Linked DNA regions of Macaca mulatta. The protein of the gene in region 2 purifies or fractionates together with the protein of the main gene of each other region. This does not show direct contact. Links are inferred from orthologs where the notes say so. Each region holds a gene or a part of one and is shown on either strand. Other genes may lie near its edges.

The links. Proteins that work in one complex are often made in the same cells at the same time.
Region 1: the proteins of RPL23 (region 2) and RPLP2 fractionate together in Homo sapiens (co-fractionation; 4 studies listed by BioGRID). This does not show direct contact. The link is inferred for Macaca mulatta from reciprocal best matches to the Homo sapiens genes RPL23 and RPLP2.

What each region holds. Positions count from the first base shown.
Region 1 is NC_133419.1:703,086-706,830, reverse strand, and holds the start of RPLP2 (large ribosomal subunit protein P2), read right to left. Parts: upstream 2,377-3,745; 5' UTR 2,335-2,376; intron 2,141-2,334; 5' UTR 2,140-2,140; coding exon 2,017-2,139; intron 468-2,016; coding exon 419-467; intron 384-418; exon of another isoform or gene 250-383; intron 1-249. UniProt on the Homo sapiens protein: Plays an important role in the elongation step of protein synthesis.
Region 2 is NC_133421.1:63,145,279-63,149,023, forward strand, and holds the start of RPL23 (large ribosomal subunit protein uL14), read right to left. Parts: upstream 2,338-3,745; 5' UTR 2,308-2,337; coding exon 2,295-2,307; intron 1,701-2,294; coding exon 1,617-1,700; intron 1,586-1,616; exon of another isoform or gene 1,451-1,585; intron 1,320-1,450; coding exon 1,191-1,319; intron 1-1,190.

The sequences.
Region 1 (3,745 bases), on a different chromosome or scaffold from region 2:
CAACAGCTCAACTTCCAAACAACTCCCACCAGCTCAGCTGACACCAACAAAAAACCATCTGCCCAACAAAGAGGCAAGAAGCCTGTGAACATCCCTGGCACCCGTAGTCCCTGCCCCCAGCTCCTTCACAGAAAGCATGCGGTAAGAACTGCTGACATGAACTCAGTTCTCCAGACACCAAGCTTCAGAGGCAGGGCCACCTAAACGTCCACTGAGAACACAGGGTGCCCCCTGCTGCCCTACTCCTGGGAGTGTCTAGAAGCGCCCATGACATGAGCCCACTGGAGCCCTGCTCACTCCTCAGGTGAGGCTTCTAGGGTGCTCTGGTCCACAAGCGAAACCTGGCAGGCCACAGACGGACCAGCAGGGATTAGGATGGACCATGAAAACAAATGAAAGCCCCTCCACATCAACTCACCCTGGGCAATGACGTCTTCAATGTTTTTTCCATTCAGCTCACTAATAACCTGGAGCAGATAATCACACAGCTGTTACCAGGAAAGTGCAAATGTATCCCTGGCCCTATCCCTTCCAGAATCACAGCAGGACTGGGTCCCCCACAGAGGAATACGCCCTGAAGTTTCTAGACCTGCACTGCCCAAAGGGAGCCACCACCCTCGCTTGGTAAGTGATATAAAAATAAATGGACACTAGGTTTCTTAGACTTAGGACTGAGAAGGGAACACACGATGTCTCACCGCTTAATGTTGACTACTCACAGGTATCTTCAACACGGGCAAAATAAGCTGTCAATGAAACTGACTTTGACTTCAGGCTGGAGTGCAGTGGTGGGATCTCACTGCAGCCTTGACCTCCCGGGCTCAAGCGACTCTCCCACCTCAGTCTGGGACAACAGGTGTGAGCACACACACCTGGCTGATTTTTTTTTTTTTTTTTTTTTTGAGACGGAGTCTTGCTCTGCCGCCCAGGCTGGAGTGCAGTGGCGGGATCTCAGCTCACTGCAAGCTCCGCCTCCCGGGTTCACGCTATTCTCCTGCCTCAGCCTCCCAAGTAGCTGGGACTACAGGCGCCCGCCACCTCGCCCGGCTAATTTTTTGTATTTTTTAGTAGAGACGGGGTTTCACTGTGTTAGCCAGGATGGTCTCCATCTCCTGACCTCGTGATCCGCCCGTCTCGGCCTCCCAAAGTGCTGGGATTACAGGCTTGAGCCACCGCGCCCGGCCTTGATTTTTTTAATTGTATTTTAGAGACAGGGCTTGGCTCTGTGGGACTGCAGTGGCACCATCACTATTCCATGCAGCCTTGACTTCCCAGGCTCAAATGAGCCTCCCGCCTCAGCCTCCTGAGTAGCTGAGACTACAGATGTGCACCACTGCCTACAACTTTTTTTTTTTTCAACTTTTTCTGGAGACCAGGTTTTATGATGTTTTCCAGGCTAGTCTTGAATTCCGAGGCTCCAATAATCCACCCGCCTTGGCCTCCCAAAGTGCTGGGTGAGCCACTCGCCAGGACTGCCTTTTTTGTTTGTTTTTTAAGGAATCTTATGCATCTCACTTGTATTAAACTTCCAAAGCTCATTAATCACGACTTTGCCTCGTACCCCTCCAGCTTTTTATTTTTTCCTTTTGAGACAGGGTCTCGTTCTGTCGCCCAGTCTGCAGTGCAGTGGCATGATCTTGGCTCAGTGCAACCTCCATCTCCCGGGTTCAAGCGATTCTCCTGCCTCAGCCTCCCAAGTAGCAGGGACTACAGGCACCCACCACCACGCCCGGCTAATTTTTGTATTTTTAGTAGAGATGGGGCTTCCACATGTTTGCCAGGCTGGTTTCGAACTCCTGACCTCAGGTGATCCGCTCGCCTCGTCCTCCCAAAGTACTGGGACTACAGGCGTGAACCACTGCACCTGGCCCCCACCCTGCTTACTTCTCTACCCGAGACATCGCCGACTGGACTGAAACAAGCCTCTCCCCGAACCCTCCAGCATGTGGCCGGATCAGGCAGAAAAATCGCCTGTACGGCGCTCTACGGCGGCTGCGGGGCAAGGGCGGCAGCTACCTTGTTGAGTCGGTCGTCGTCCGCCTCGATGCCCACGCTGTCCAAGATCTTCTTGATGTCCTTGGCGCTGGGGGAGGAGTTACCCCCGAGGGCAGCCAGCAGGTAGGAGGCGACGTAGCGCATTCTGAGGCGGGCGGAGAGGGCGCGACGGCGGTGTTATCCCGGTGGCCTCCGGCCTGCCCACCCCGGGGCCGCCGGACGAGGCCGCGTGTGGCTAGACCAGTAGGCCTCCGTCCCGGAAAGACCCCGCCGCCCACCTCGCATGCCCGCGGACCCCGCGTCCCCAGCCCGCACCCCGGGCCGGGTCATCACACTCACGCGGCGGCGTCTGCGGCGGCGGCGGAGAGGCCTCACGCGTGCGACTTCGGCGGTGTCAGGGAGGAAAAGGAAGGCGCCGATGCAAGGGGCGGGGGTAAACCGCTACCCAGAAGCCTCCGGGACCCGAGCGGGGCGCCGCATGAGGCGCCTCAGAATGGCGTCACGAGGCGCTCAGCCAATGACGATGGAGGAGAAGCCATTGACACTTCCCCCCCGGCCCCGTCAAGACAGTTTCCGCGGCACAGGCGAAGGCCAGTAGTTCCGGAAGTGGCTGCTCTTATAGCGTGGGGCGAAGGTCCCCCGAAACTCGTGGTGGCGACGGACGAAGCGAGCCCAAAGGGACGGCATCTGCCTTCGGTACCTAGCGCTCCCAGCATGCCACGCGGCGCCTACAGCGCCCAACATGCAGCGCGGCTGCCACGCCCCGGACGCAACCTTCGCCCGCGAACTGCAAGTCCCATGGTGCACCGCTGCCGGAAGTGGCCTGCGCCGCCGGCCTACGCGGAACGGCACGTGGGCCCGAGCGGGGGCTGCTCGCGGTAGGCTCGCCCTGACTCTTTGGTGGTTCCCTGGCCGCGGCGACCGGTGGCCCCATGTCCAGCCGGGCTCAGTGAGGTGAGCCAGCCGCCTCGGACTTAGCGACTGCAGCCCTACCTGGGAGGCCACCCCCGTCCTGCGGGGCCAGGGCGTCCTGCCAGAGGACGAGCGCGAACCTTGGAGGGCAGGACAATGACTTGAGGCAGCGTCGCCCACTCACCCCTGGGAGGAGTGAGGTCCGAGCGGTCAGCCCCTGCGCTGGCCGCTTCGGCCAAGAACTGACCTTGGTGTCCATGTGGACATAGCACATCAGGGGACCCTGCCACATTCTCGGGTCCTGGGAGGGAACAGGGTTGGCCGTGCCTTCTAAGGACTTCAGTTCTTCTGCGAGGACGCAGGAGGTGAATAAGGGGGCGATCCGAGGGATAGGGACAGAGCGCGAGTTGGTCTGGGCAGCCTGAGAAAGTCTAAGCTGAGAGATAAGGAGCCAACCCTGCCAATATCCGGGGCTAGCACCAGGAACAGGGGGTCAGATGCAGGTACCTAAGGTGCTAGCAGGCAGCGCCTGCTCCCGTGGGGCTCAAACAGCAGTGCAAACCCTGGGATGTGTATACATCAAGCATTGGAACTCGACTTCACCGTCGCCTTCTGTGGCCTCGGTGTCATTACCCCCATTTTATAGATGAGGCGGTTGGGTACAGAAAGGTTTTCTTGCTCGAGGTCACACATCTGGGATAAAGGCGGGAAAACATCTTGCGAACAATGTGACTTTTTAATTTTGTAATTTTTGAGACTGGGCCCCATTCTGTCGCCCAGCCTGGACTGCAGTGGCTGGATCACAGCCCACTACAGCCTCAAATTCCTGGGATCAGGT
Region 2 (3,745 bases):
TATTAAGTTCCAAGGGGAGGGGATGTATTCATTTAGCAGAAACAAGGACCAAAAAAGACATTAACAGAATTGGATACTCACAGCTCGTTTTAAAACTGAAGTGTTCTGAGCTCTGGTCTGTCCCACCACTGACTGAGACCAACAATCCACTCTCCTGCCATCTCATCTACAAAGTGATGGCCATTTGCTCTGCTCTTCTCTAACAGCTCCCTGGGCCACCAATCAGACCCAGGAAGTGTTCTGAGAAGAGGAAAAAGCCCATGCAATTGCTGAATCACAAGCACAGTGCTACCAAGCCCTCAAGTGGCTATTAATGGTAAACAAAAAAAGATTTCTAACCCAAAGGTTAAAAATCTACTGGAGAGCATCGTGGGGTGGATACAGGAATAGGAGTAACTGTAACACATGGCTAACAAATCAACATCATATTTGTAACTCAAGGGATGGCCATGAACTCTTTAGAAGAGCAAGACATCCCAGGGTAGAGACAGACTAGGCAGGCACAGGAAAAAACTGCAAGAGCTGAAGTTAAAATGCATCAAATACCAGAAGTTCTAAAGCCGGACAGGACACAAACTGCAAGTATTTTGAGGCCTCCCCCTTTAAATCATACAGCTGACAGGAAAACTTATGAGGGGGTAGCCTGAGATTAAGTAATGAGCAATTAGCTGGGTGTGGTGGCGCACACCTATGATCCCAGCTCCTCGGCAGGCTGAGGCAGGGCAATCACTTGAGCCTGGGAAGTGGAGGTTGCAGTGAACAGAAAGATATGTGCCACTGCACTGCAGCCTGGGCAACAGAGTGAGATTACATCTCAAAAATAAATAAATAAAAATAAAATAATGAGCAGCTTCTCGTTTTCATTTTCTAATTTTTTTTTTTTTTTTTGAGAACCCAGGAGGCAGAGGTTGCAGTCAGCCAAGATCGTGCCATTGCACTCTCCAGTGTGGGCTGAGCGACAGAGGGAGACCCATCTCAAAAAATAAATAAATAAATAAATCTAAAGTATGGAAATGACAAGATGATGGTCCCCCCTCCAACATAATATGAACAAAAACTTAAGATACTTATCTCACATTGCCTCTCAATGGAAAACAACCTTGAGGCCTTGAAAACTGATCCATTTTCCAATAAAGGAAAGAGTCCCCCCACTACTTATCAGTGTTAAGGTGGGCTCAGTGTTTACTCACCCTTTTTTCTGAGCTCTGGTTTGCCTTTCTTGACTGTGGCCATCACCATGTCACCCACACCAGCAGCGGGAAGTCTGTTCAGCCGTCCCTTGATCCCCTTCACGGAGATGATATACAGGTTTTTGGCTCCTACAAATCAATGTAAATAAAAATGAAAAATGTTGAGGGCCCATCAGGCCGTTCCATCAGTATTACATTTCCCAAACACTTCCAAAGTCCCTCCCTCCACTGACTGCCCAAGCAGTTAGTCCTCAAGAACGCCTTGTCACACCACCGATTGAAGCAAACAACACAACATGTTGCCACTTCACCCAAAAGCGATGTTTTCACTCTCCCCTTTCTTGACGGCTCAATAGGTCATTAGGCACAGGCCCATTGAGTGCTTTTAAAAGGGGGAGTATAGCAACCTGCAGTCAAAGACCTCACCTGTGTTGTCAGCACAATTGATCACAGCTCCTACCGGAAGACCCAACGAAATCCGGAATTTCGCACCAGAGGACCCACCACGTCCTGTGGATATAAAGGGAAGGTAAACAGGATAAAGAGATCACTATCTAGACATGGTTCGCAGTTCCCCCTCATACTCTTAAACTGTAATTCACCGCACATACTTTGACAGATGGTATGCTATAGATTAGCTCGCTCGGATTTTACTTATGCCCTCCCCGTGTGCCACCCGATTCTCACGGAAAGTAGCCTATTTCTCACTATTACCACTCTGACATCGAAATTAAGGAACCTAGACGACTCAGCCCTTGTTCCAACTTTCGCAAAACGCAATTGCTCCTGCAAAGCATAAGACCGCAGAGGTCGCGCAAACCAGGGCCTAATCCAGTCTAACTTCAACCCCAATACGATAGCCCTATTCGCAGAGCGATCTCGCGGGATCCAGACTATATTCATGTCGGGATCCTGCTATGTCAACTCTCCAGCACCCCACTGCCACTTTCGAGGGCCCTGGCAGTGCTCTTGCGATGGCCTGGCTCTCCCTCTCCGGCCTGAAGGAGAGCAAAGCGCCCCAGCTGCCTAGGGCCACCGCTCCTGACGAATCCGCCAGCCACTGCACGACAGATGGTGGAGGATCCTCCAGAAGCAAAACCTCACCTCGCTTCGACATCTTGAACGCCGGAAAAAAGAAAAAAGGAAGTTGATTCAAAGGACGCTGGGATATGAACTTTGACGCCCCGCCCACCTTCGTCACGTGGCCGGAGCTAAAAACTCTGCCTCTTCCGCCTCTGGGCGCTGCCTTATTGCGTATTAAGTTCACGACGTTACTTTGAGCCCTCTCTGAAGTGGGCGTTGAAGTAGAAGCGCAAGAGATAGGAAATCTCTTCTCCAGGAGCTTAAGAGTAGTTAGGGACATGGAAGCAGTGATTTGTTAACTTGCTCACGACCTCTTTTGACAACTTAATACGTGCCAGGCACTTATCTGCACACTAGAGAATAGGAATTAAAACACGGTTTGTGCCGTGTGGGGGTTCCCAAAGAAACAAAGACAGTGGGGGAGGGGGGAGAACCAGCTCCAAACGGTTTCGTTGAATGTAATACAATTGAGAAGTGCTACAGATCATTCCATCTATGTGTTCTTGGTACCATACTATTCTGTATTTTACATATACAGTATTGCTCTGTTTATTGACCCGCCCCCCCCCCCACACACACACACACAGTTGTTTTTTGTTTTTTTTTTCTTTTTTTTGAGACGGAGTCTCGCTCTTGCCCAGGCTGGAGTATAGTGGCGCGCTCTCAGCTCGCTGCAACCTCCGTCTCCCGGGTTCAAGCAGTTCTCTGTCTCAGCCTCAGAGTAGCTGAGACCACAGGCGCCCACCACAACGCTGGGCTAATTTTTGTATTTTTAGTAGAGATGGGGTTTCGCCATGTTGGCCAGGCTGGTCTCGAATTTCTAACCTCAAGTGATCTGCCCGCCTTGGCCTCTCAAAGTGCTGGGATTGCAGGCGTGAGCCCCCGCGCCAGGCCACTTGCTCCTTTCACAGCTTCAGCCGCCCCTTTCTTCTGGGTTCTTCCCGTGCCACGATGCATTCATTCAAATACTTACTGAGCTCCTACTTTGTAGCAGGTTCTGTCCAGGGCGTACAGCGGATTACATCAGACAACAAAATGGATCAATATTGTTGTCCTTATGGAGCTTACATTCTGCTGGGGTGCAGGTGGAGGAGGATATTAGACACTAAACAAAAGATATAATAAATAATTGCAGTATGTAGTATGTTAGATGGGGATAAGTATTATAAAAATATAAATAGTATCGCTTCTTGGCCTTTTGGCCAAGATCAAGTGTAAAATACAAATAGTGGCCGGGCCTGGTGGCTCACGCTTGTAATCCCAGCACTTTGGGAGGCCGAGGCGGGTGGATCACGAGGTCAGGAGATTGAGACAAGCCTGGCCAACACAGTGAAACCCCGTCTCTACTAAAAATACAAAAATTATCTGGGCGTGGTGGCACGCGCCTGTAATCCCAGCTACAGCTACTCGGGAGGCTGAGGCAGGAGAATCGCTGGAACCCGGGGGGCGGAGGTGGCAGGGAGCCGAGATCG